Saccharomyces cerevisiae S288C: one gene and its partners. The protein of the gene in region 1 interacts with the protein of each later gene in a biochemical or structural test. Each region holds a gene or a part of one and is shown on either strand. Other genes may lie near its edges.

Region 1 (8,815 bases):
GCGGTTATGAAAAATTTCTGCAGCATCGCTTTAGGGGAGTACTGCCGGCATGTTGGAAAAACATCTCGAAACATATATTGAATCTCAGAATTAACCAGTATTCGAAGCAAAGAAAAAAATATTTCGAAGATAGATAAATACCTCAAGACGAACCTGTCTTTTATATGTTAAGATTTGATATCTAATCTCACCAGACTTTCAAGTTTTATCTCACAACCTCGCGTTTGCCATAATTTTCGAAGTAGCCTGATCCCTTCTTTGTGAACATATTTCACTGGAAAAGTACATAACTTTCATAGCGTAGTTTGAAAGTATGCAGCTTTGCTACCGACCTTAAAGAATTATTATACTATTATGGAGCAAATCAATTCGAACAGTAGAAAAAAGAAGCAACAATTGGAAGTATTCAAATATTTTGCAAGTGTCCTTACAAAAGAGGACAAGCCTATTAGTATCAGTAATGGTATGTTAGATATGCCGACAGTGAACTCCAGTAAACTCACAGCAGGAAATGGGAAACCTGACACGGAGAAGCTTACAGGAGAACTAATTTTAACATACGACGATTTCATTGAACTGATATCTAGCTCAAAGACTATTTATTCGAAGTTTACGGACCATTCGTTCAATTTGAACCAGATACCCAAGAACGTTTTCGGGTGTATTTTCTTCGCTATTGATGAACAAAACAAGGGATATCTGACGCTTAATGATTGGTTTTATTTTAATAATTTATTAGAATATGATAATTATCATCTCATTATTCTATATGAGTTCTTTAGGAAATTTGATGTAGAGAATTTGAAGGCAAAACAAAAAAAAGAGCTTGGTAGTTCGTCGTTTAATTTAAAGGCTGCAGATGATCGAATTAAGTCAATTAATTATGGTAACAGATTTCTAAGCTTTGATGATCTTCTTTTGAATCTGAACCAATTCAAAGATACTATCCGCCTGTTGCACGAATCTATTGATGATAATTTTGTTAAAGATAACAAATTACTACTTGATTGGAATGACTTTCGATTTCTGAAATTTTACAAATGTTATCATGAAAATGAAGAGTATTTGAGTTTAAACTCTCTGGTCACGATTTTACAAAATGATCTTAAGAATGAAAAAATATTTATAGGTTTTGATAGGTTGGCACAGATGGACTCACAAGGGCATCGTTTAGCCCTAAGCAAAAATCAACTCACCTATCTTCTAAGGTTATTTTACTCTCACAGGGTGTCTGCAGATATATTTTCCTCCTTGAATCTATCAAACACCGAATTACTAAAAGCGGACAATAATTCCATTCCGTACAATGTATTCAAGGATATATTTTATTTATTTCAAAATTTTGACCTACTGAACCAAATATTTCACAAGTATGTTACTGAAAATAATTTGAATGAGCAGGATATTAGGGAACAAATAGTTACTAAAAATGACTTTATGACAGTTTTAAACGCCCAGTATAACAAAGTAAACAATATCATTGAGTTCTCTCCTTCCCAAATCAACCTACTATTTTCTATCGTCGCAAATTCAAAGGAAAACAGAAGATTAAGAAAGAGAAATCAAGATCGAGATGACGAGCTATTAAATGATCACCATTATGATTCAGATATTGATTTTTTTATCCATAATGAGTATTTGCATGGAGTAAGCAGATCCAGAAAAAATTTAGAAAGTTTTAATGACTATTATCATGATCTCTCGGATGGATTTGACCAAGACTCTGGTGTTAAAAAAGCTTCAAAAGCGAGTACTGGCTTGTTTGAATCTGTATTTGGAGGTAAAAAAGATAAAGCAACGATGCGTTCTGACTTAACAATTGAAGATTTCATGAAAATTTTGAACCCAAATTACCTGAACGACTTAGTTCACCAAATGGAATTGCAAAAAAATCAAAATGAGTCATTGTATATTAATTACTACTTTTATCCAATTTTCGATTCGTTGTACAATTTCTCCTTGGGTTCTATTGCGGGTTGTATTGGTGCAACTGTAGTATACCCAATAGACTTTATAAAAACAAGGATGCAAGCCCAAAGATCTTTAGCCCAATACAAAAACTCAATTGATTGTTTGTTGAAGATTATATCCCGCGAAGGAATAAAAGGTCTCTACTCTGGCTTAGGGCCACAATTAATAGGAGTTGCTCCTGAAAAGGCGATAAAATTGACTGTCAATGATTTTATGAGAAACAGGTTGACTGATAAAAACGGCAAGCTAAGCCTTTTTCCTGAAATTATTTCTGGCGCTTCAGCTGGTGCATGTCAAGTTATATTTACTAATCCGTTAGAGATTGTAAAAATTAGGCTACAGGTCCAATCCGACTATGTTGGTGAAAACATACAACAAGCCAATGAAACTGCCACTCAAATAGTCAAAAAATTAGGACTGAGGGGCTTGTACAATGGTGTAGCCGCATGTTTAATGAGAGATGTTCCATTCTCTGCTATTTATTTTCCCACTTATGCACATTTAAAAAAAGATCTCTTTGATTTTGATCCAAATGATAAAACAAAGAGGAATCGATTAAAAACATGGGAGCTTTTAACTGCCGGTGCCATTGCTGGTATGCCAGCTGCCTTCTTGACTACTCCTTTTGATGTTATAAAAACAAGGCTCCAGATAGATCCTCGAAAAGGTGAGACAAAGTATAACGGTATATTTCATGCTATCCGAACTATCTTAAAGGAAGAGAGCTTTAGAAGCTTTTTCAAAGGTGGTGGAGCCCGTGTCCTAAGAAGTTCTCCCCAATTTGGGTTCACTCTGGCCGCCTATGAATTATTCAAGGGCTTTATTCCCTCCCCCGATAACAAATTAAAAAGCAGAGAGGGTAGGAAGAGATTTTGTATCGATGACGACGCAGGCAATGAAGAGACAGTAGTTCATAGTAACGGTGAACTCCCACAGCAAAAGTTTTACTCTGATGATAGAAAACATGCCAATTATTACTATAAAAGCTGTCAAATTGCGAAAACATTCATTGATTTGGACAATAACTTTTCTAGGTTTGACTCTTCAGTTTATAAAAACTTTCAAGAGCACCTAAGAAGCATTAACGGGTGATTTATTTTCTTCGTCAGTTTCTCTGTACATATATATGTATATATTTACTTATTATAATTCATAGCAAAATATATGTTTTTTTTTTTTTCTTATAGTGAGAAAAATTACTAATGATCCTGAGATCAATTTCACTGTAGTTTTTACTATAGTGCAACAAGTATGTTGTTCTTAATAAGTGTAATGAAAGCTCTGAGGTCAAGTTTTCTTTTTTACAGAAAAGTTATATTGGCCTATTTCATAAATAACTGGCGGCAAGAAGCTAATGTAATATAACTCGATATCGCTTTTAATGCCATTGTATGTCATGAAAAGAAAATAAATAGAATTGAGATGAATATATATTCTTTTTTCTAGTTTTGTTCTATTTGTACATTGATTTAATTTAATTAACGAATATACAAGGGTTTTGCGAATAGATAGAATTAAAAAGCTTAGTGATGTTTATATCCCACTAATTTTCTTCTTCCAATTATTTCACCGACAGAATAAAACCCTATCAACTGAATACCATATGCGCCATATTTTAATAGTTCATTCTTTTGGATGTTTTTTAAACACGATAAAACTTCTGTAGGCTTTAGAGCAAAGTTTAGGCTCTGCTTATAAAGGTTCGAATACACTGATTTGAACTGGGCAACAGTTGGTGGTTGAAGACCCTCTTTTAAATAAATCTGTTTTGAAATCTCGGCACCGACTTTACCATAGTATAAAGCCTTTGATGACAAAAGATTTGCTTTAGAAACCAACCCACTGGTATAATTTTGGATCCTGCTTAGCATGATGAATTGATTAGCGTTCTGAAATATGATTTATCGGCAGGTTTATCTTGTCGATTTGGACTGGAGTAGAAAATATGAGGGATCTTTGCATCTTCATTTTTCGGTCTTTAAATGTAATCATCCTTCGGGATAAATTTAGTGCGTTTAACAATATTTTCTTTCAGCCAATCAGGAATAAGAAAAAAGCCGCCCACTCAATCGAGCCTACATACAGTATTGAATAGTGTTACAAAGCATAAGGATGTAAAAAATACAAACTTGCTATAATTAATTAGTATTTATTAATTGTTACGCAGGGAATGATTGTAGTAGACAGCATCAGACACGGTTATTCAGGCGAACTGATCTCCTTACACCCTCGCCAAGGACAATGACCTTGTCCTCTTGTTGCAATCTTGACAAGGCTTCCTGGATATCAGAAGACTCAACTCTATCTTGAGAGTGTTCATTGATTTGTTTTATAAGCTCATTGAATGACATTGAGTCTGATGCCTGATCCTTCAAAACATTCATAATTTCCCTTGACAAATCCTCCTGTAGTTTTCTCTGAATAACTGATTTACCTGTTTGAACTAAATTCATGTCGATTTTACCGGTTTTAGGGTCTGTTGCATAATCTTTTATGGCTGATCTAATTAATCTAACGGCTTCTTGAACATCCTCCAGCTCTACGACGTTTTTCAATTTCATTTTGGCGTGCGCCTCAGCCAAACGAATCATACTTTCAAGTTGTCTTGTGGTAGCTGTGATTCTCTTCTCATCGGATCTCGAATCGTCACCCATCTTTCTCATTCCTACATAAGCACGAACAAGCTCAGTCTTAGCGGCCTCGGTGATTATTGGGTGTATGTGCTCCTTTGCATAACTAATATACATCGTTAAAAATTCAACTGGTAGCACGTCGTCTTGAGAAATATGTTCGGGCTTATCTTCCAGGTAAAGATTTGTTAAGTGTTTGGCTAGTTCTCTGTCATTTTTCTCATCAACCTTATCAAGGACAAGATAGACCAGATCGAATCTCGAAAGTAGTGGGGGCGGTAGATCAATATTTTCAGTCACAGGCAAATTGGGGTTGTAGCGTGAACCAATTGGGTTAGCACTGGCCAAAATAGAACTTCTGGCATTAAGTGTTGTGATAATTCCCGCTTTTGCGATTGAAATAGTCTGCTGTTCCATGACTTCGTGCAAGACGGACCTTGTAGAATCACTCATTTTATCAAACTCGTCAATACAACAAACACCTCCATCAGACAATACTAATGCACCACTTTCCAAAACAAGTTGTTTTGTGTCGACATCCCTTGTAATATAAGCAGTTAAACCAACGGCAGATGAACCTTTACCCGAAGTATACACACCACGAGGAGTAATTTTGTGAACGTATTGCAAAATTTGCGATTTGGAAGTAGAAGGATCCCCACAAAGTAAAATATTTATGTCACCTCTATAACGGCCACCCTTGGTAAAGGTTTTATTCGTGCCGCCAAATAGCTGAAGTAATATACCCTTCTTGACATCTTCTAGCTCGTAAATACTTGGGGCAATAGAGCGGGCTAATAAACTGTATAAATCTTCTCTTGCCGCAACCTCGCGAATTTTTGCTAAATCCTGATCAGTAATTTGTCTTACTTCTTCGACCTCGTTATGATCTACCTTGTTCTGCATTAATTCTTGTTCAATAGTAGAAGTATCGACGTCTAACCTCTTATCTGAAACTTTTTTAACGTGGACCACATCGACGTATGTTTTATACAACGACTTTAGTACGCGTTGCCTGGAATTAGCTCTAATGGGGATGGACCTGAACGTGCCAGTCACCTCAATACGATCGCCCGCCCTGCAAGAATCCACTAATTCATCGTAAACACATAATGAGATAGAGTGAGGCGTTTGTCCATCAGGCACAAAGTCTGGAGTTTCCTGTAACTTAATGACTTGTTTATCTGCGAATGAACACCTGTTGTGAATCAGTGACATGGAATTGGGTTCATTACAATCAATACGTTCACACCTAGCGGGCTCTTGTATAACTCCTCTATCAATTTCCACTGCCATTGTATGATCGCAGACGTTGCATTTGAAAAACGCTACCTTCATATCAGGGATAACCGGAGTTGATCTCAGGACAAGACCCTTTAAGTTTATCAATTTATCAATATCATTTGGATTCAATTCGCGCATACCTTTACAAGAACCTACATTGTAAGGCCTTACTTTATAAAACTTGGTCTCTATTTCATCTAAATCGTAATCCAAATTGTTGTCTACTATTAAGGAAACCATACAGTCCTTGATAGTTTGATCCATGATAGAAATCACTTCTTGAGGATAATTTAATAGTTGATGGTATAAGTCTTCTGTTTGCTTGTAAGCAAGTAAGTTTCTAGCATCCAAGTTTAAATTAGAGGTACCAAGTTCTCTCATTTCATTAAGCTGCTTGATATAGTATAGTTCTTCGTCGGTAGTATTGTTAATGAATTCCTCCCTTTCATCCAATATTTTACGGAATTTATACTTGAAAGACATCAAAAAATTACGAAAATTAGTTGTACATTCCTGGATACTGACGTTGGTACCCCAAATTATTCTCAAGGGTTCACTGGCTTCCGATGGAGGAGCAGAAGAAGAAGAAGTATCCAAAGTATTCACGCCGGATCTAGTATCAAAATCCACAATTCTTCTTGGAGAGGATAAATCAGATGTATGAATATCATTTCTTCGCATGTGTACACGGTTTTGACCATTACGGCCTAAAGAAGAGGAAGAAGTAGGCAGTGCTCTATCACTTCTCAGATCAGAATGATATCTAGACCTTCCAGAAGCGCTCGCAGAAGAACGAATTCTGCCCTGTCTGCCTTGAGATTGGAAAACATCGGAATTTTGTCTTTGGGAAGAAGATGGAAAATTTAGTGGAGAAGAACCTATAGCAGCTCTGATGTTTCCCTCTCCCTGACTTAAGTTCTGGCTATTGTTGCGACCATAGATATCACCTTGTGATGAAGAGGAGCTATAAAATAGAGCTGGGGAAGAAAGCTGTGGTGGAACAGAATCAGGATTAGGCACAACGGGGGAGCTGGAGTTATTATCCTCTTTTGTTGGAGAGCTAGACTGTTGAGACATTTTAAGTTCTTGAGGTTCAAAAGGATCCTAAGTTGGGCTCTACCAAGAGTAAAAATAACTGAAGATGGGTTGTCTTATTTAGTATTGAAGATGTTCTTAAAGAAATAAACAGTGCCAATGCGAAGTTGCTCTTCTGGTCTCTTCTTCTCTTTTCATTTTCGAGGCGGCGAACTAGCATTAAATTTCCCGAAAGAGTAAACCAAGTGTTTGCGTTTTCATGAATCTACTCGTAATATTCCAAAAAGAAGTGATATAAAACATGCAGTTGGCTGACACAGATAAATGTAGTTCAGCTTATATAGAAGATTTTCTTTTGTTGCATGCGAGAAGTGCTGGATTTTATTCAAAGTCCAAAAGGCTTGACTGTCGATCGTAGTGTTGTCGCCTTTTTCATGTATACCAATAAATAATCAGTTTATCTGTATGTTTCTATATACTAAAGATCCGTTCAAGTTACAAAGACGGGGTTGGCATATTTGCATTGGCTCGAAGATTCTCCCAGTTTTGTGCGTCTTTGATTACCCATTTGCGGGGCAAATCACCCTTTCCAGAACTTCTTATGGCATATTCCTTTATGGTGTTTTTAATTGTTTGTTTGTTGTATTGCGGCAAATTTTTCTGTGCTATTTCAGTCACAGTACCCAAAGAAAACGTGCTGTCTTGAACCCCATCAAAAAGTCGAAGTAAGTCCATGGGGTCTGTAATCATTGCTTTTTGTTTCTTTTCGGGACTTTGAGATTGGCTAGCGGTCTGTGCCTGTAAGTCGGAATTACTTCTTTTGGATGGTAGAGACGATGTTTTGGGTTCTTTGAATGGATCGATTGGCCCGTCGGTTTCTATGATAACTTCGGCCTTGAGTTGTTGTAAGTATCGTTTATTTTCCTCTGATAAGTTTTCAAAATTGGATTTTAGGCATATTGTTGGTATCAATGGGCCTACAAATTTTCTCTTGGCGCAGGGTAGGCCATCCAAATCACTGTTTTCTTCGCTGTCTAGAAACCCGTCAAACTCTCCTTCGCTAGGTACGTCTTCATCATCTTCCTCCTCCTCCTCCTCTTCACCACTTTCTAAGTTATCGACTTCGCCTTCTTCTTCTTCATTAACCCATTCAACGTCAGAATCGTAATCATAATTGAATCCAGTACCTTTCGTAGAAAAGGGATCGTTTGGTGGCAAAGTAAAGTCCATAGAATAGGTTCCGATAAACGGAGGTCTAACATTTTCGTAGAATTTTATATATTTGTGCGGAACTTGTGCAAGTAAAGATTGGAGCTCATCGTCTGTTTTCTCCTTCAAAGGCATTTGCTGTAGAACGTCAACAGCTTTACGTTTAATTTTATGTCCTCTAGGTAATCTTCTAGACTGTAACCAATTCAATAAGTCGTCACTACTTGTTTTATCTTTACTGTTCAGTAATTCATCATCTATTTTTCTTTTGCTACCTTCCAGCTCCACTTTTGTTAGTTTCCACTTATTACTGACTCTAACTCCATCTTTAGCATAGAAAGGTAGAAAAAATTTTTCATAATCCGACTTTTCAACCACAGGCGTATTAGAATCGCTTAGTTTTTTAAAGAAGTTACCAATACGGGATTGTGCTCTTTCCTTGGCTTCTTCTTTCAAACGTATTTCCTCCTCCTTTTTCAATCTTTCCTCCTCTTTTCTTCTTTTGGCTTCTAATCTGGCTTCTTCCTTTCTACGCTTTTCCTCTTCCTTTTGCTTTTTCAGCTCAGCACGCCTTTGTCTTTCCTCTTCTACCTTTAGCTCTTTTTTCTTTTTCTCTTCTTGTCGTAATAACTCTTTTCTGTGTTTCTCTTCTGCACGTTGCTGCTTTTTTAGTTCCTTTTCTCTTT
Region 2 (7,972 bases), on another chromosome or scaffold:
AACCAAGCAAACGTCAGTATCAAATAATGATTGCGCTTGATGATTCTAAGTCTATGAGCGAATCTAAATGCGTTAAACTCGCTTTTGATAGTTTATGCTTGGTCTCCAAGACGTTAACTCAGCTAGAGGCTGGAGGGTTATCTATTGTCAAATTCGGTGAAAATATTAAAGAAGTTCACTCATTTGACCAACAATTTAGTAACGAATCTGGCGCAAGAGCTTTTCAATGGTTTGGTTTCCAAGAAACTAAAACAGACGTTAAGAAACTTGTGGCTGAATCTACTAAAATTTTTGAACGTGCTCGCGCTATGGTACATAATGACCAATGGCAACTAGAAATTGTAATCTCTGATGGTATTTGCGAAGACCATGAAACAATACAAAAACTGGTCCGCCGTGCTAGAGAAAACAAAATTATGCTGGTTTTTGTCATCATAGATGGTATTACTTCTAATGAATCCATCTTAGACATGAGCCAAGTGAACTACATTCCAGATCAGTATGGCAATCCGCAATTAAAGATTACCAAATACTTGGACACATTTCCTTTTGAATTTTATGTTGTTGTACACGATATAAGCGAACTACCCGAAATGCTTTCACTGATTTTGCGTCAATACTTTACAGACCTGGCATCCAGCTAAGTATATCGTGAAAACCAAGAAGAGGAGGTTTACTACACGAATCAAAGGAACAAAAAAATCATGGAACTGAAAAAAAAAAAAAAAAACTACTGTAAAAAACTACTGTAAACTATAAATTATTAATTAGACTGAACGTATACCTATATAAACCTGATATAAAAATGATTCAAGTTATTAGTCCTTTGCATTTTCTGTTAGCAATCCTTTGTCAATTAGCCCTAAGAAATATTATTCCCATATGGGTAACCAACTCTCTTTTTTTTTTTTTTTGAAGGGATCAATACTTCAGTCAGATATTTAAAGAGAAAAATTTTCTTCAAGATGCAAGTTTCCCATTCAGTTCTATAGGAAGTTAAAACAAAAGAGCTGTTTGAGAGCTCGTAGGCTTTGGTTGTTAAGAGAACGGACTAAATAACACCAGGAGGTGTGTCTAGACTTAGTTGAACGAGTTTTTTCTCGTGCTATTATATCTGTTCTTAATACTTCCACTTTATTTTAATGATGATAGCATGATTTATGTTGCTCGAAGTTAATCGATGTGAGCACAATGATTTCTCAAGACTACAACGGTATCTGAATTTTATTTCTTGTCAAAAATGTTTTATAGAAGCCACTCTTGCTATAGATTTATATTGCCACACATAACTTTTTCACGTAAATTTGAAAGAGCTATATTAGCTGGTGCTTTCACTAACATCTCTTTGCTCTAGTATTTCATTTCGGTGCATAAAACATTTGAACTTCCATCGAAATTCAATATGCTAAAACGTTTCATTGTAACACGACGCTGAAAAGACAATAAGTACGAAGGACTCAAGAAGGAGCATGTCTAAAGGGAGGGTCAATCAGAAGCGTTACAAGTATCCTCTTCCAATTCACCCCGTAGATGACCTTCCAGAGTTAATCCTTCATAATCCGTTATCTTGGCTATATTGGGCATACCGCTATTACAAGAGTACGAACGCACTGAACGATAAAGTACATGTAGATTTTATAGGAGATACCACTCTTCACATCACGGTTCAAGATGACAAGCAAATGCTATATCTTTGGAATAATGGATTTTTTGGCACTGGTCAATTTAGCAGGAGTGAGCCTACATGGAAAGCTAGAACAGAGGCCAGACTGGGTCTCAATGATACTCCCCTCCACAATCGGGGAGGAACAAAGAGTAATACTGAAACGGAGATGACTTTAGAGAAGGTCACACAACAGAGGAGATTACAAAGATTAGAGTTCAAGAAAGAACGTGCGAAGTTAGAAAGAGAATTACTAGAATTAAGAAAAAAAGGTGGTCATATCGATGAGGAAAACATCCTCCTTGAGAAACAACGAGAATCATTAAGAAAATTTAAACTAAAACAAACAGAAGACGTGGGCATCGTTGCACAACAGCAAGACATTTCCGAATCAAATTTAAGAGATGAAGACAACAATCTTCTTGATGAGAACGGTGATCTTTTGCCACTAGAGTCACTAGAACTAATGCCAGTGGAAGCTATGTTTTTAACTTTTGCACTTCCTGTTCTTGACATATCTCCCGCGTGCCTGGCAGGGAAACTGTTTCAATTCGATGCCAAATATAAAGATATTCACTCCTTTGTCAGATCATACGTTATATACCATCACTACAGATCACACGGTTGGTGCGTAAGATCTGGTATAAAATTCGGCTGCGATTATTTATTATATAAGAGAGGGCCACCATTTCAACACGCTGAATTTTGTGTTATGGGTCTTGACCACGACGTCTCTAAAGATTATACGTGGTATTCTAGCATAGCCCGTGTTGTGGGCGGCGCAAAGAAGACGTTTGTGTTATGCTACGTGGAGAGACTAATCTCGGAACAGGAGGCGATAGCACTATGGAAATCAAACAACTTTACTAAATTGTTCAATAGTTTTCAAGTTGGTGAAGTATTGTATAAGAGATGGGTTCCCGGAAGAAATAGAGACTAGAATATCAATGAGAAGATAAATCCTTCGTATGTATATATGTATGTGTATGTATTTTTTATACAGATTTCAATGGTTTTTGTAAGCATCTGATACCCATCCACAATCCCTAAACCCCTTGTTCTTTGCTTTGGGGCCCTTGACAGGGTCATCATATATTGCTCTAAACTTTTCATTGTGTGTGGCTGGTTTGGATATGCAAACAAATTTATTATCAGGAAGGACACATTTCAACTGAGATTTAGGGAAGGGACAAGGACAGTCTTTCTGCTGTGCAACGCACGTTAGGGTGTCCGGACACAAATACCCATCACAAGGGTTATTTAAAACTTGATCTTCATATGATTGTTGCTGTTGCTGTTGCTGTTGCTGATGATGACCGAAATTGAAGAAGGCATTCACTCCAGTGCTGCCAAAAATAAACAATGCAAAGATGAGAACGATACTCCAGCGACTTTGACTCATACTACAGTAAAATTTGGTCGTTTTTTGCCTGGCAAACCATGCCTATTTTTCGTCATTAAAGGTCTTCTGAGCTTTCATCAAAATTATCTCTATAATTATAAAGGACAGCTCAGAGCCACACCCAAACATCTGCAAAGGTAAAGGCCATCTTTCATCTCACATTGCCTAACAAGAAAGTCACATTGCAATTGTTTCGAGAAGAAAACATTAATTCAATTACGTGGTTCCCATGCGTCTGTGTTAAGCGTCAATTTATCATTTGACGAACTCGTTGCAACCACAAACAAAGCAAGGGCCGCATTTATCAAAGGAAAACCAACCAAAAGCATAAATAAACGAGATTTTTATTATGAAAAAGCCATGCGAATCCTACTAGAATAAATTCAAAGTGAAGACATTTAGTCAATTCGATCTTCTCTCTCTTGCTTTAACTAGTCGTAAAACCTAATAAGTTTCATTCACGACGCGTATTTTTTTTTCAACATATCATCTAACGCGTTTTAAGAAATTTCAGTAAATAATGAAGCTGTAGTAATGCCAACAATCCATTGTGGCTACTTTATACAACGCACTATAGAGCAATAAAAGTGTAGCAATAAACACTAGAGAGAAGGCACATAATAACAAGAATATACTCTCGCACATGTATTATGGAATCAGCCAGTTTAGCGAAGCCTACAACAAAATCTTAAGGAATTCATCGTCTCATTCATCATGTCAATTGGTCATTTTCGTTTCTTGTCTTAACATCGATGCGCTGTGTGCGACGAAGATGTTGTCACTATTATTCAAAAAACAATTGGTACAATCTCAAATAGTACCGATATTTGGGTACTCTGAATTACGACGCCACTATTCTCAATTGGATGACAATATAAATAGTCTGCTATTAGTAGGGTTTGGAGGCGTTATTGATCTGGAGGCTTTCTTAGAAATCGATCCCCAAGAGTATGTTATCGATACAGATGAAAAGTCGGGGGAACAAAGTTTCAGGAGAGACATCTACGTGTTGGATGCTCATAGACCGTGGAATCTCGACAATATATTTGGATCACAAATCATCCAATGTTTTGACGACGGTACGGTGGATGACACATTAGGCGAACAAAAAGAAGCATACTATAAATTGCTTGAACTGGACGAGGAGAGTGGTGACGATGAGCTCTCAGGTGACGAGAACGATAATAATGGGGGTGACGATGAGGCAACTGATGCCGATGAAGTCACAGACGAGGACGAAGAAGACGAAGATGAGACAATATCTAATAAAAGAGGTAATTCTTCAATAGGACCGAATGATCTCTCAAAAAGAAAGCAACGAAAGAAGCAAATCCATGAATATGAAGGTGTTTTGGAGGAATACTATTCTCAAGGCACAACAGTGGTTAACTCGATATCTGCACAAATCTATTCATTATTGTCTGCTATCGGAGAAACAAATCTTTCAAACCTGTGGTTGAATATACTTGGTACGACCTCGTTAGATATAGCATATGCTCAAGTTTACAATCGATTATACCCCTTATTGCAAGATGAAGTGAAGCGTCTCACACCAAGCAGTAGAAACTCAGTAAAGACCCCTGATACATTGACGTTAAACATCCAACCGGATTACTACCTTTTCTTACTGAGGCATTCTTCATTGTACGACAGTTTTTATTATTCTAACTATGTCAATGCCAAACTATCCCTATGGAATGAAAATGGGAAAAAGAGATTGCATAAGATGTTTGCTAGAATGGGTATACCATTAAGTACTGCACAAGAAACATGGTTATACATGGATCATTCTATTAAGAGAGAACTTGGGATAATATTTGACAAAAATTTGGATCGTTATGGGTTGCAAGATATAATTAGAGATGGGTTTGTTAGAACTCTTGGATATCGTGGGTCCATAAGTGCCAGTGAATTTGTCGAAGCACTAACAGCTCTTTTGGAAGTAGGTAATTCAACTGATAAGGATAGTGTGAAAATAAATAATGACAATAATGACGATACAGATGGAGAGGAAGAAGAAGATAACAGCGCTCAAAAATTGACGAATTTGAGAAAAAGATGGGTTTCGAATTTTTGGCTCAGTTGGGATGCTCTAGATGACAGAAAGGTGGAACTATTAAACCGTGGCATTCAACTAGCACAAGACTTACAGAGAGCAATTTTTAATACCGGGGTTGCTATATTGGAGAAGAAATTAATCAAGCATTTAAGAATTTATAGATTATGCGTCTTACAAGACGGACCCGATTTAGACTTGTACAGAAACCCATTGACGTTATTAAGATTAGGAAATTGGCTCATAGAATGCTGTGCGGAATCTGAAGACAAGCAATTGTTGCCCATGGTGCTTGCCAGCATAGATGAAAATACGGACACTTACTTGGTTGCTGGGTTAACACCTAGGTATCCTCGCGGACTAGACACGATACACACAAAAAAACCTATTTTGAATAATTTCAGCATGGCGTTTCAACAAATAACTGCAGAAACGGATGCTAAAGTGAGAATAGATAATTTTGAAAGTTCCATAATTGAAATACGTCGTGAAGATCTTTCACCATTCCTGGAGAAGCTGACCTTGAGTGGATTGTTATAATCAAATTTATATTATTTAGTCGTACATATATACCAGCATATGAATATAAAATCTAAGCTTTTTCAAGCTTTTAAGTCCAACTTTTCTATAATAATACCATATTTTGTGCGCGGCTCTTGACAAAACAAAAAAAAAAACCTAAATAAAAGGAAATTAAGAACAGGGAACTAGGTTTGGAAGGACAAATTCAGGAAGGAAAGAAATAGCTGTGACAAAGTAAGATGAACCAAAATGGTGATAAGAACGAAGGCAAGTTGTTTCAACTACCGTCATTGCCGCCCTGGAAAACACCAAGGTTCAACAAAGCCAACTTTAACAATTTTACCACACCGCTACGGAAAAGGTCGACAAGGGTAATAAATGATGATTCGATGCCCATAACAGGCGAAGTACTAGAGGAGAGGACTGCAGATGATCTCTATGGGATAAATATGGACGTAGACGAAGTCGACTATCTGAATACTTTGAGCCACATCGAGGAAGAAAAGCAATACGATTATTCACCGTTTTGTGAGCGCAATACGCTAAGGGAAAGTAGAATTGACAGTTTTTTGAAAGCCGAAAGGGCAGCACATTGTCTTGTGTTTCATAAGGTGGGCCATCTAGACGGCATAGACAGCTATCGACCCGATATTGACATCATGTGCGGCGAAGAGGCTAATAAATATGACAGTGCGAATCCGGAGGGCAATGGTTCAATGTTGTTAGAGAGTGTACCTGGATGCAACAAAGAAGACCTGGAGAGGTTATCAAGGCGAGAATTTGTAACAAATTCGAAACCTAATATGAGACGGTTGGATGACATAATAAATCATGAAACGAACGCCTTAAAAAGTTTCTGGAACGACTCAGGATTAGTCAATTCACTCCAAAGTCATCATTTGCATGAAGAGTACCTTCTTTTGCAAGAAGAATTAAAGAATGTGTACAAGATTAAATGCCATGACAGAGTGCCAATAGAAAGTCTACGCGATAAGTGCAGAAGACACTATAGCAACGAGGATAGTTCGTTTCTCTGACAGAGGCAATGCCTTTTTTGCTTCACGTGTATATATATCAGTTGATATGCGTTTTCTATACAGACATACATGTATATACACACATATATATATATACATATGTACGCAGAGATATATTAAATGGGGGTTCTAGTTTCAACAATTTGATCTTTCAGTTTCTCGTCCCATTCCAGTTTCTTCTTCTGTATATAAGCGAAGACATCAGACATTCCAGTAGGGTCTATTTCCTGCGTCTTGATATATGGCATACCATCCCTAGAGGTAGCAGAACCGTATTTTACGTCTTGTTTCTCAAAGTTTGGATTGGCCAATCTAGTTACGTATACTGGGGCATTGGCAGCTTTATAACCATCAATATTGTGCCATGGAGACCCCAACAGCCTGGCCAAATAGAACAAGCATAGCATGCCGAAATAGGTGAAAAAATTCAAATATTCGGAGAAGGAATGGCTTGTAAATATGCCCGGTTGAACTACATACTGATTTATGCCCAGCTTTTTCAAGTCTTTGTAGGTGGCCAAATGCAGTAAATCAACTAAACGCTTGGAGCCCTCATAAGAGGCATTTGTCTTTAGTAGTTCAATATCGTTCAACGAAAGATACTTAGGATCGGACATAATACTCGAAATCCAAACAATATAAGCCTTTCCCCTGGTCAATTGAGGCAGAATTTTACTGATAAAGTAGTACGGACCAAACACATTGGCCTGGAAAATAAGCCCCATGTCATCTTTAGACTTGACGCCCACCAGTTGTATCTTGTATGTCGGATTTGTCACTGCCTCCAATGGATTGGTGAAAACCTCCTTGACCGCTCCGATCCAATCTATACCGTCAAAGATACCTTGCGCAGCATTCACGAAAAGGTAGTTTATCGCCCTGTACTTTTTGTTGATGTCGTAATATGCGTTCAAGACACTCACCATGTTGGTGAAGTCCACCAACAGATAATCAAAGTCTATTTCCAAATCCTCTACACGGCCTGATTTGTTGTAAAAATCTTTAATCTGGTTAATCACCTCCTGCACTCGAGGAAGCGTTCTAGAAGTCACCACAATGGTCAATCTGACATTGGTGTCCTCAGTTTCAATCAGACGGAACACAATGTTCAGACCAAGATTACTATTAGTACCCGTTACGATAGCTACTTTCCTGTTCATCCTATCCTCCTACTTTTTCTCTTTGCTACTTTTTTTCGACACAGATCATGTGCTTGTTTCTCGTCCTATCTTTTAAATACCTGCTCAATTCAAGATGCCGTTCTTTCGTTAAACGACCATAAATAAAGGCCC
Region 3 (4,861 bases), on another chromosome or scaffold:
GATGAATGATATCTAATTGTTTCTCGAAGAATAACTTATATAACAGTAGTATACCGATGTAAGGAAAACTTCTTGGCTATGTAAAACTTTTTGAAAGTTAGAGGAAGAAAGTATTATACATTCAAGAGAGATGAGCTTTCCAATTTGAAAAATTTTTCAAGAAAAAGAAAAAATTTGAAAAAAAAAAAAGAAAAATATAATAAACATATCATTTTGTACGCAAAAAGTTAAGGAATTATGAAAAGGGACTAAGAGCGTGAATTTTACAGAACGGAGGACAGTAAGATTATATTCTATTTAGCTATCTAGAAACCAATTGAGCTATTTGAGAGAGATACATATTTTGAATTTAATTTGAAAATGCCTATCACCATAAAAAGCCGCTCTAAAGGGTTAAGGGACACTGAAATTGACTTATCCAAAAAGCCTACTTTAGATGATGTTTTGAAAAAAATCTCTGCTAATAACCACAATATCAGCAAGTACAGGATAAGATTAACCTACAAAAAGGAATCTAAACAAGTTCCGGTTATTTCAGAATCGTTTTTTCAAGAAGAGGCTGATGACTCAATGGAATTCTTCATCAAAGATTTGGGTCCCCAAATTTCATGGAGATTAGTCTTCTTTTGTGAGTATTTGGGTCCAGTCTTGGTTCACTCCCTTTTTTATTATCTATCTACCATTCCCACAGTTGTTGATAGATGGCACAGTGCTAGCTCCGACTATAATCCATTTTTAAACAGGGTTGCATATTTTTTAATTTTAGGACATTATGGAAAGAGATTATTTGAAACCTTATTTGTTCACCAATTCTCTTTAGCTACTATGCCAATTTTCAACCTGTTCAAAAATTGTTTCCATTACTGGGTTCTAAGCGGTCTCATTTCATTCGGTTACTTTGGCTACGGCTTCCCCTTTGGGAATGCTAAGTTATTCAAATACTATTCATATTTGAAATTGGATGACTTGAGTACATTAATTGGTCTTTTCGTGCTTTCAGAACTATGGAACTTTTATTGCCACATTAAATTGCGCCTATGGGGTGACTATCAAAAGAAGCATGGTAACGCTAAGATCCGTGTCCCATTGAATCAAGGTATTTTCAATCTTTTTGTTGCTCCCAACTATACTTTTGAAGTTTGGTCTTGGATTTGGTTTACTTTTGTGTTCAAGTTCAATTTATTTGCCGTTTTATTTTTGACTGTTTCAACAGCTCAAATGTACGCATGGGCTCAAAAGAAAAACAAAAAGTATCATACCAGAAGAGCATTCTTGATTCCATTTGTATTTTGATCCTCCTGTTTGCAACATGCCCAAATGCAAGGTAAAGAGATATTAGCTTTCACGAAGTGGCGTAGTAGCACTATTGTTTAAGTATCGTCTGCACCTGTGCCTTTTGGTATTTGGCACTATCTTAAGCGCATGCCACCAATTATGCTAAACCGTTTCACTTTAAGAAATTTTTATTTAAATCTTTCACTATGCAAATATGTAAGTACTTTTAAAATTCTCTTTCCAAAGAAAAGGAAATTATTTCAGACTAGCAGTAATTTATCACTTTGCTATTCAGATATTAGGAGAACATCCTTATCGAGCAAATCTGCCTCGCTTGAGCTGACAACGTCATCTTCGTCAGTACTCTCGCCATCCAGTAAATATGTGTTTTCATTCAATTCATTGAAAAACGGGGTTTTCAGTAAATCTTCTGCTGAACTACGCTTTTGAGGATCCATTTCGAAGCATTGTTCCAAAACCTGGAAGCACCAATAATGATCGGACCAAATTTCTTCTTGATACTTTTTCAACTCATAGGCATCAACAGCATCCATATTTGTCTTGGGGTCAGGTAATTGAGGTTCAATGGACATCCTGTCATGTAATTCTTGTTGTAGAAATCCGAATGTTTCAAAAGCAACACTGTACTCAGGGAACGTACCTATGGTACATTCTTTATTAAGCAAATCATAAACAAATTCCTTCAATCCATTAGAATATCCGTTTGGTTTATCCCAAATGAGCCCACTAGCTTCGAAACCCAATCCATGCAACGCTGCGCATTTTCTTAATTCTTTCCAACCAAAAATAGTACATAACTCTAGCAAAGAATCCGCATCATCTAAACTTTGGAACATTGGAAATCTTCTGCCCAAAAGACTTAAAAGAATAACACCTACGGACCATATATCAATCTTTGTGCTTTGAGCCCCACACTTCATTAACACTTCTGGTGCCCGAAATCCACGAGTCCCTGCTCTATTAGCCCTTTTAATTCTACGCGTTTCATTTTTAGGATAACCCTTTGTCAGATCCACCCCATTTACATTGTTTAAGTGGACGACCTTGCCATTTTGTATGGTGACCATAGGAGGTGTTTGGTTATGTGAGTTAGGAGAATATTGATTACGCATAATGCATGGACAAAATTGTTCGTGATTCCTCATTGAATATCCACCATCATGGTTTGTATTTGCATAATTGTCGTAATCGTTTTGACTAGATATCATGCTTTTATAATCCATTTGAGCCTCGGCTAGACCAAAATCAACAAGCACTCCACGCCCCAATTCCAAATTAAATAAAAAATTTGTCGGTTTGATGTCTCTATGAATAATTCCCTTCGAATGAACAAACTTCAATGCTCTTAGTAGCTCCCAAATGTACTTCTTGATTCCCTTGATTGGTAGATCCCTGTAGAAAGTTCGGAACTCCTCGTGGGGATAGTACGGTAAAACAGCAATGACTTGATCTCGCACCCTTTTTGCATCACATAGAGGGGCTACTCTCGAAGATCCCGTCATTATGTACAGCAGGTTGAGCTCATTATAAATTCTTTGCGGTGACGAGGTAACGTATATTTTCTTCAAAGCAACATAGTTCGAACCATAATTCCAAAAATGTGATGCAAATTTTTTTGTTATTTTCCCAGTGATATCTTTGGCTTTATACACTGACGAAAATGTTCCCTCACCGATCTTGTCTATGAGTTTATATTCATTTTCTATACCCGGTAGATCATGATAGAGCTGTATCATCTCTTCTTTGATTTCTGGAGGTATATCATCGATATTCTTCGTTTTGCTTGTCATTATGATTGTTCTACTTCGAAACTGCCTCTTTCCTAAGAAAATTAGATAATAGCACAATTGTTATTGAAAATTTAAGGTAGTCTGTTACTTCCCGTTACGCCTGCTGAGCGGTTTTTTTTGTTAATGGTTCTTGCATTGATTTTAGGCGGAAATGTGAAGTGCTCTTCTACTCACTAAATTGATGCCGTTCAAGAAGACGCCCCAGGGCAAAGAAGACATAATTTAAAAGCTGACCGGGGACAAATGTTTAAGATTTATGTAGGCCTAAGGCGTTTATCGAGCTAAACGGGAAGTAATTTTACTCTATAAAATGTCATCTACACAAGCATTGCCCCATTAGATTCTTAATTATCTTCAAAACCAGGGCTACACCTTAATTTCCCAAGCTAAAAACATGCTTATATAGAGGTTTAAAAAAAAAGCGTCGTTCGTTGATAAAGTTTACGAACGTATCAGTATGATCGCGTAGGTTTCCACATACTACTTAGACTTCCTACACTGTCATGGTCATTATGTCAACAAAGGTGAGACCAACGCGTCCTGACCTGAATTTTTCTCTCTTTAAAACAGAACGCGTTCTTCATAATCCTCTCCTCAATGAAAGAATTTGGGGGGACAATATCTTGACAGAAACTGGTAAGGCTCTTGATAGTTACCGTACTTGAAGGGACACTGTGAACTGACTAAAAAACTCCGTCATGTCCAATTTATGTGTACTTTTCTTCCAGTTTTTTTTTTTAGCACAATTTTTTGCTGAGGCATCACCGTTGACATTTGAACTGAATAAAGGTCGAAAGGAGTGCTTATATACGCTAACTCCGGAAATTGACTGTACAATCTCATATTATTTTGCAGTACAGCAAGGAGAGAGCAATGACTTTGATGTTAACTACGAAATATTTGCTCCTGATGACAAAAACAAGCCAATAATCGAGAGATCTGGTGAACGTCAAGGTGAATGGTCATTTATAGGCCAACATAAGGGAGAATATGCTATCTGCTTTTATGGTGGTAAAGCACACGACAAGATTGTTGATCTGGACTTCAAGTACAATTGTGAACGCCAAGATGATATTCGAAATGAAAGACGCAAGGCGAGAAAGGCGCAGAGAAACCTGAGAGACTCTAAAACCGATCCCTTGCAAGACAGTGTGGAAAATTCTATAGACACCATAGAAAGGCAGCTCCACGTTTTGGAACGTAATATACAGTACTATAAAAGCAGAAACACCAGAAATCATCACACCGTTTGTTCAACAGAGCATAGAATTGTAATGTTTTCTATTTACGGCATATTATTAATCATCGGAATGAGCTGCGCTCAAATTGCCATACTGGAGTTCATTTTCAGAGAATCGAGAAAGCATAATGTGTAAATAGTTGTGTATTGTTCCTGCATTTTCTATCAACTTGAGAATATATGTTCTTCATATTTAATAGGGGAAAGGAATGACATACCGTATCCAAAATAGCCCTTTTGCTCATGTTAAATCTTATGTAATGACAGAGCTGAAGTGACGTTTCTATTAAAGCACATGTCACGATTTAAAAAATCCTATTTCAAAATGTAGCATTGTTTTCTTCGAGAAATTGACAAAATAATCTTTGTAAGAGTAATTTTTTCTTAGCCATTGGCATATGCACCATGCAATTTCCACCTATTTAATTACACTTGCAGTCAATCAACTCGCTTGGGGATGGTATTCCTCTTGGAGTGTTAAACTATATTTTTAGTGAAAGAAGTGATAAGCAAGTGTGCCAGAAAATACAAGGAT
Region 4 (7,637 bases), on another chromosome or scaffold:
TTTTGGTACATTTTCCACGTGTGACTGTTTATGTGGATTCCGAATTGAAAAACAGCAAAAAATTTGCCGCTGGCGAGTTATGTGAAGATAGTAAATGTAGAGAATCAAGGATCAAGTATTGGACAAAGGATTTCATCAGGGAACATGATGTTTTCTTCGATTTGGTAGTGACTTTGGGTGGCGACGGTACTGTTCTTTTTGTAAGTTCCATTTTTCAGAGACATGTACCACCCGTTATGTCGTTTTCATTAGGGTCTCTAGGATTTTTAACAAATTTTAAGTTTGAACATTTCAGGGAGGATTTACCTCGGATTATGAATCATAAAATCAAGACAAATTTACGGTTGAGGTTGGAGTGCACAATTTATCGTAGACACCGCCCTGAAGTAGACCCAAACACGGGGAAGAAAATATGTGTGGTGGAAAAACTAAGCACACACCACATTTTGAACGAAGTGACCATCGATCGTGGTCCAAGTCCTTTTCTATCCATGTTAGAATTGTATGGTGACGGCTCATTAATGACCGTTGCGCAGGCGGACGGACTGATTGCTGCTACTCCGACTGGGTCCACGGCCTATTCTTTGAGTGCAGGTGGGTCATTGGTATGCCCAACCGTCAATGCAATCGCTTTAACACCCATTTGTCCACATGCATTGAGTTTCAGACCCATCATCTTACCAGAAAGTATAAATTTAAAAGTGAAAGTCTCGATGAAGTCAAGGGCTCCAGCATGGGCGGCTTTTGATGGGAAAGATAGAATTGAATTGCAAAAAGGTGATTTTATAACCATATGCGCCAGCCCATATGCTTTTCCAACCGTGGAAGCCTCGCCCGATGAGTTTATTAACAGTATCAGTCGACAACTAAACTGGAATGTGAGGGAACAACAAAAGTCCTTTACGCATATTTTGTCCCAAAAGAACCAAGAAAAATATGCACATGAGGCGAACAAAGTCAGAAATCAAGCAGAACCTTTAGAGGTAATAAGAGATAAATACTCTCTGGAAGCAGACGCTACTAAGGAAAACAACAACGGAAGCGATGATGAGAGCGACGATGAGAGTGTAAACTGCGAAGCTTGCAAATTAAAGCCTTCGAGCGTCCCAAAACCTTCTCAAGCAAGGTTTTCAGTATAATGTTACATGCGTACACGCGTTTGTACAGAAAAAAAAGAAAAATTTGAAATATAAATAACGTTCTTAATACTAACATAACTATTAAAAAAAATAAATAGGGACCTAGACTTCAGGTTGTCTAACTCCTTCCTTTTCGGTTAGAGCGGATGTGGGAGGAGGGCGTGAATGTAAGCGTGACATAACTAATTACATGATATCGACAAAGGAAAAGGGGCCTGTTTACTCACAGGCTTTTTTCAAGTAGGTAATTAAGTCGTTTCTGTCTTTTTCCTTCTTCAACCCACCAAAGGCCATCTTGGTACCAGGAATATATTTCTTTGGGTTAGTCAAGTACTCTGACATGTTATTTTCGTCCCACAACACGTTTTTCTTGATATTGGCATCTGTGTACGAATACCCTTCAGCTTGACCAGAGTGTCTGCCAAAGATACCATGCAAGTTTGGACCAACCTTATGTGGGCCACCCTTTTCCACGGTGTGGCATTGTAGACATCTAGTCTTGAAAAGTGTAGCACCTTTCTTAGCAGAACCGGCCTTGAATTCAGTCATTATTAATTTAGTGTGTGTATTTGTGTTTGTGTGTCTATAGAAGTATAGTAATTTATGCTGCAAAGGTCCTAATGTATAAGGAAAGAATATTTAGAGAAAAGAAGAAAACAAGAGTTTTATATACATACAGAGCACATGCATGCCATATGATCATGTGTCGTCGCACACATATATATATGCCTGTATGTGTCAGCACTAAAGTTGCCTGGCCATCCACGCTATATATACACGCCTGGCGGATCTGCTCGAGGATTGCCTACGCGTGGGCTTGATCCACCAACCAACGCTCGCCAAATGAACTGGCGCTTTGGTCTTCTGCCATCGTCCGTAAACCCCGGCCAAAGAGACCGGAAAGATCGGTGAAAACATCTTGATCTTGCTCCCGGGAATTTTAGATTCAGGTAGGAAATTGATTACATCAATACTGTTACCCTGAATCATATTCGACGATGTCGTCTCACACGGAAATATAATTCATTTCTTGGTTTTCCAAAAAAATTTTCATTTTTTTTCACTTTTTTGTTTCGTCCTCCTTTTTTTTTTTTTTTTTTTATTTTTTTTCCTGTGTTCACCTTTTTTTTTTTCAGTTGACATCTTTCTGCATTCTTTTCTGTGTTTTTTTTTTTTTTTTTCGTTTTTCCATTGTTCGTTCGTTGCCTGTTTTTTCGCCCTATTGTTCTCGAGCCTAAAAATTTTTTCCTTTCCTGCTTTCCTTTCTTCGTTCAAAGTTTCCTATTCCATTGTTCTCTTTGGTAAACTCATTGTTGTCGGAACTCAGATATATTCAGGTCAATTTACTGTACTTCAATTGACTTTTTTCTTGAAATTTCAACTTGCCTTTTCAACTTGTTCTTCTTTTTTAATCTTATTCTACACTTTAGTTCCCTTACCTTGTTCCTAATTATTGTCTAGCAAAAAGAAAACATACACCTATTTCATTCACACACTAAAACATGTCTGACGAAGAACACACCTTTGAAAATGCTGACGCTGGTGCCTCCGCCACCTACCCAATGCAATGTTCTGCCTTGAGAAAGAATGGTTTCGTTGTCATCAAAGGTAGACCATGTAAGATTGTCGACATGTCCACTTCCAAGACCGGTAAGCACGGTCACGCCAAGGTCCATTTGGTTACCCTTGATATCTTCACTGGTAAGAAGTTGGAAGATTTGTCTCCATCCACTCACAACTTGGAAGTTCCATTTGTCAAGAGAAGCGAATACCAATTGTTGGATATTGATGATGGCTACTTGTCCTTGATGACCATGGACGGTGAAACCAAAGACGATGTCAAGGCACCAGAAGGTGAATTGGGTGACAGCATGCAAGCTGCTTTCGATGAAGGTAAGGATTTGATGGTCACTATCATTTCTGCCATGGGTGAAGAAGCTGCCATCTCCTTCAAGGAAGCTCCAAGATCTGATTAGATATTTTAGATTTCTATAGCTTACAAAATACGCGATGTTTTTTTGATCTAGAAATCTTATTTATACATTTTATATAATATTATAATAATCATAATCATAATTATTCATCCTAACTAACTTCGTTCTGTTTCAGCTACGAAGTTGCCTTCATTATCGCTACGTTCGTGTTAATTGGTGTTTGATACCATAGTCACTTATGACGACGTGCAGAACTTTTTTTTTTGACGGATATTTTCCCCTCAATATGCCGAGGATGATTACTTTATAATTTGCCTTCTTTCGGTTCCTTCTTCTTTTTAATTTAGCTGACGGGAACATGTGTATATACCCCAGAAGAATTTAAACAGAAATTTTTTTGAGCATTTTACGAAAATATTAAAAACTAGGGCTACAGATATCAGAGAAAAAATTACTTATATGATGACAATAACTTAATATCACAGTCACTATCGTTCTCGCCTTTATATGCGCAGTGACAGCATTCGACTTTTCCTTGGAAGGGACCCGATCAACGAAACTTCAAAAAGAGTAGAAGTCAAAATATTTTTTGCACGACGAGGGTGACAGACCGTGCTATGTCCACAAATGAGGCCCTGCTTTCCCAAGATAAATTGCGTAAACATATAATTGTTACAAATCCAAGGCTCTGTGATTTCTTCACCAAGTGTAGTTGTGATGTATGATGTGTAGGATAAGTAATGACCGGTAAATCAAGCTGGTAAAAAGTCCTAATAACAAGCCCGAATCTGGAATAATGGTAATATTCCCATGCCAGGTGGACAGTGTTGTCCTTAAACAAACTCAAGAGATTAAAGGCAACTTGGCCGAGTGGTTAAGGCGAAAGATTAGAAATCTTTTGGGCTTTGCCCGCGCAGGTTCGAGTCCTGCAGTTGTCGTTATTTTTTATTTCCCTTTCTTTTCGTACATACACAATGCACAGTCTTCAAAGTAAAATACCAACGTATGTATCAAGATCAATTTTTTTTCTTTTTTTTTTTTTTTTACCGTAAATGTACGTATTCTACCTTATATCTAAAAATATTCTTCAATCTTGTTGTTTTGATTTGTGGATTTGCAACAGCTTAGAAAATCTGTTTTTATCCAAACTGTTCCATCTATAAACTTTTAACCCACCATCCACTTGATGAACAGATATGTCCATTGGTAGGATACCTTGTAGCCCAGCTAAAATTTCACTTGCTTCTTTTGTACCGATAGGATTATTACTATCTTGTAAACTATCTACGATTAGCGAGCTTAGATATGTCTCTGTATAAGGCTGGCCCCTGGTCAGCGAAAAAAGAATATCAAATACCTGAGTCATTTTCATCGCTAGAAACTGCTGGTAACGTTTTTGCCTTTGAGAAAGCAATGCGGCCGAACGTCTCTCTCTTTCACGCAGTCTGTCCATAAGGTTTGCTTGCGAATCAGGCATCTTCTCTTTGTACATGAAATTTTCCTTACTATTCGCCAAATATCTTGAGTTATTCAAGGCATTAGCATTAGAGCTCTTCGTTTGCACTTTACTGCTCAAGACTGTTTTAGAATTAGAGCTGGACCTTCTTTTATTTATTTTGAAAGCGGGTACATCAGTCATAATCTCATCCTTGGAAGCTATCACTTGTTGGTACCACGACTCTGCCCTTTCCACGAATGCCAAAGTCCTAGACTTATTGGTCAACGTTGTTAGATTGTCTCTTTTGGGTAGATTCATGGTCAGCTCCCCTCTAGAGTTCAGTTCCACTACGTATGCATCAGACCAAATGGTCAATAACTTCAAAATATCATCCTGCACTATTTTCCTTTTCATCATGCTGGATATCTGGGGTAACAAAACGTGCAGCTCTGGTGGGACGCCCGTGGATCTGGAAAGAGCGTTTAAAGACAATACAGTCTCGCAAACAGTAAACAACTCCTTAACAAACTTCATTGCGTCTTGGAGTCTTAGAATACTAAGCTCCCGTGGGTAGTATTGCTGAGCGACTTTTGGGAAAGCCTTAATTTGTTGCTCCAACAAATGATTGGCAATCGTACCCTCTCCTTTACTCGAGATTGGCGTAGTAAGTGGAGGCCAGATGGTCAACGAAACAATGTTCGCACGAGGATCTATCTGGAGTGGTGAGGTAGTGTGCATACCTTGAGACCAGCGCGCAAGGAGGGTCCCCGTGTGGAACAGAAGACAATCGGGTTCATCAATACTCACCCAAGAATTGTCCGTCGTCGCCATAGTCGATGGCTTGTACCTTATAGCCTTGGCACAGGGGAAGATGGTCAACACGCCCGTCGGAAGAAAAGTAACATAGTCCCTTTCAAACAGGTACTGGAAATCGTCGCCAGTGGGCAGCACGGTAGCACCTGCATCTGCACCATCGTGTGTACTACCATTATCATTGAAATAACGGGTCAGCTTAGTCGCATAATGAGAGGTGCTGATACAGTCTTGCAATTCTGCGCTAGAAACCACACTTTTCACACACAGTTGGGCGAAAAACAGACCCAGTTTGAACAGCCTACTATATATGGAGCACAGTGACTCATTCCTGCACTTCCGATCGAAGCGTAATTGAGGATCAGTGTCAAATATGTACTGCTCCAGCCAAACATCATCTTCTAGCGGTAATGTACCCGTAAAGTTCGCATCAAAACCTTGACTCGTGTCAGGCAGGTCCTTTGTCGTGAGCCCCGCTAGTAGTGCATCTAGAACAGCCTTGTTAGCATAATTTTTTAACAGAAAGGTGTCATGCTGTAGCAAAATTGCCCTCACCACCGGCAACAGCTGCTCTTCATCTGAAACTCTATTCAAATCTATCACAGGCACGCGCAAAACCTCCTTCCTCCTACTATTAGCTGTGCCACTCATAAATCACGACGCTACGTAGTTCAGCTCACTGTCATGATACCAACTACCGCAACTAACATCTGCTTATATTAAACTCTTCCGCATCATCGCAATGGTACAATGTGCTAAAGCTAGTGCCTTAGATGCGCTGAATAATTGTATATCACCCACAACGGCAGAGCTTTTCCATGGGCTTCGGCCCGGTTCCACCGCCCCCTGCCTCTTTTTCCGGTGACCGCTTACGGTGCGGTGTATAAAAACGAACGATCCAACGCCGGCTCGACGCTTGGGAACTTTTGGGTTCTTTGTTCCACGTTTGAAAACTCCATACGTTGCTGTCCTCCTCTGCCTGCTGTACATATCGACGCCCCGCTGCTCACCAACCTTTGCCAGAGTGACAACTTTTGTATTTACGACCCATTTAATATAATTAAGACTACACAAATCTCATATTATACGCACCAAGATGCTTGCTGCTAAAAACATACTAAACAGGTCAAGCTTGTCTAGCTCTTTCCGTATTGCCACACGTTTGCAGTCAACCAAGGTTCAAGGTTCCGTCATCGGTATCGATTTGGGTACCACCAACTCTGCGGTTGCCATTATGGAAGGTAAAGTTCCAAAAATTATTGAAAACGCCGAAGGTTCCAGAACTACTCCTTCTGTAGTAGCTTTCACTAAAGAGGGAGAACGTTTGGTTGGTATTCCAGCCAAGCGTCAAGCCGTAGTGAACCCAGAAAACACCCTATTTGCTACCAAGCGTTTGATTGGTCGTCGTTTCGAAGACGCTGAAGTGCAAAGAGATATCAAGCAAGTTCCATACAAGATCGTCAAGCACTCCAACGGGGATGCTTGGGTTGAGGCCAGAGGTCAAACTTACTCACCAGCCCAAATCGGTGGGTTCGTCTTGAACAAGATGAAGGAAACAGCTGAGGCCTACTTGGGTAAGCCAGTTAAGAATGCTGTTGTCACTGTCCCAGCTTATTTCAACGACTCTCAAAGACAAGCTACTAAAGACGCAGGCCAAATTGTTGGTTTGAACGTTTTACGTGTCGTCAATGAACCAACCGCCGCTGCCTTAGCTTACGGTTTGGAAAAATCCGACTCTAAAGTTGTTGCCGTTTTCGATTTGGGTGGTGGTACTTTCGATATCTCCATCTTAGATATTGACAACGGTGTTTTTGAAGTTAAGTCCACTAACGGTGACACTCATTTGGGTGGTGAAGATTTCGACATCTATTTGTTGAGAGAGATTGTTTCTCGTTTCAAGACCGAAACTGGTATTGATTTGGAAAATGACCGTATGGCTATCCAAAGAATTAGAGAAGCTGCTGAAAAGGCTAAGATTGAGCTATCTTCTACCGTTTCCACTGAAATCAACCTGCCATTTATCACTGCTGATGCCTCAGGTCCAAAGCATATCAACATGAAGTTCTCCAGGGCTCAATTCGAGACTTTGACAGCCCCACTAGTTAAGAGAACTGTCGACCCAGTCAAGAAGGCTTTGAAAGACGCCGGTTTGTCTACTTCAGACATATCTGAAGTCTTATTGGTCGGTGGTATGTCCAGAATGCCTAAGGTTGTCGAAACCGTTAAATCTTTGTTTGGTAAGGACCCATCTAAGGCCGTCAACCCAGATGAAGCTGTTGCCATTGGTGCTGCTGTGCAAGGTGCTGTCTTGTC

The links.
Region 2: the proteins of MCM4 (region 1) and CDC45 form a complex in vitro, tested with the Saccharomyces cerevisiae proteins (5 studies listed by BioGRID).
Region 3: of the proteins of MCM4 (region 1) and CDC7, one has a biochemical effect on the other in vitro, tested with the Saccharomyces cerevisiae proteins (9 studies listed by BioGRID, with this or other methods).
Region 4: the proteins of MCM4 (region 1) and TAH11 form a complex in vitro, tested with the Saccharomyces cerevisiae proteins (3 studies listed by BioGRID).

What each region holds. Positions count from the first base shown.
Region 1 is NC_001148.4:594,897-603,711, reverse strand, and holds MCM4 (MCM DNA helicase complex subunit MCM4), read right to left. Parts: upstream 6,963-8,815; coding exon 4,161-6,962; downstream 1-4,160. Other genes in the region: AGC1 (citrin), read left to right, coding at 355-3,063; ATP20 (F1F0 ATP synthase subunit g), read right to left, coding at 3,495-3,842; RLF2 (Rlf2p), read right to left, coding at 7,416-8,815. UniProt on the Saccharomyces cerevisiae protein: Acts as a component of the MCM2-7 complex (MCM complex) which is the putative replicative helicase essential for 'once per cell cycle' DNA replication initiation and elongation in eukaryotic cells.
Region 2 is NC_001144.5:341,678-349,649, reverse strand, and holds CDC45 (DNA replication initiation factor CDC45), read left to right. Parts: upstream 1-3,708; coding exon 3,709-5,661; downstream 5,662-7,972. Other genes in the region: REA1 (AAA family ATPase midasin), read left to right, coding at 1-644; tRNA splicing endonuclease subunit SEN2, read left to right, coding at 1,470-2,603; LCL2 (Lcl2p), read right to left, coding at 2,670-3,065; APC9 (anaphase promoting complex subunit 9), read left to right, coding at 5,883-6,680; ERG27 (3-keto-steroid reductase), read right to left, coding at 6,797-7,840. UniProt on the Saccharomyces cerevisiae protein: Required for initiation of chromosomal DNA replication. Acts at the origin of replication. Also has a role in minichromosome maintenance.
Region 3 is NC_001136.10:422,434-427,294, reverse strand, and holds CDC7 (serine/threonine protein kinase CDC7), read right to left. Parts: upstream 3,087-4,861; coding exon 1,563-3,086; downstream 1-1,562. Other genes in the region: trans-2-enoyl-CoA reductase (NADPH) TSC13, read left to right, coding at 361-1,293; ERP3 (Erp3p), read left to right, coding at 3,785-4,462. UniProt on the Saccharomyces cerevisiae protein: Serine/threonine-protein kinase. Needed for the initiation of DNA synthesis during mitosis as well as for synaptonemal complex formation and commitment to recombination during meiosis. Required for HTA1-HTB1 locus transcription repression.
Region 4 is NC_001142.9:520,386-528,022, reverse strand, and holds TAH11 (Tah11p), read right to left. Parts: upstream 5,976-7,637; coding exon 4,161-5,975; downstream 1-4,160. Other genes in the region: UTR1 (NADH/NAD(+) kinase), read left to right, coding at 1-1,139; CYC1 (cytochrome c), read right to left, coding at 1,359-1,688; ANB1 (translation elongation factor eIF-5A), read left to right, coding at 2,642-3,115; Hsp70 family ATPase SSC1, read left to right, coding at 6,421-7,637. UniProt on the Saccharomyces cerevisiae protein: DNA replication licensing factor, required for pre-replication complex assembly. Faithful duplication of the genetic material requires 'once per cell cycle' DNA replication initiation and elongation.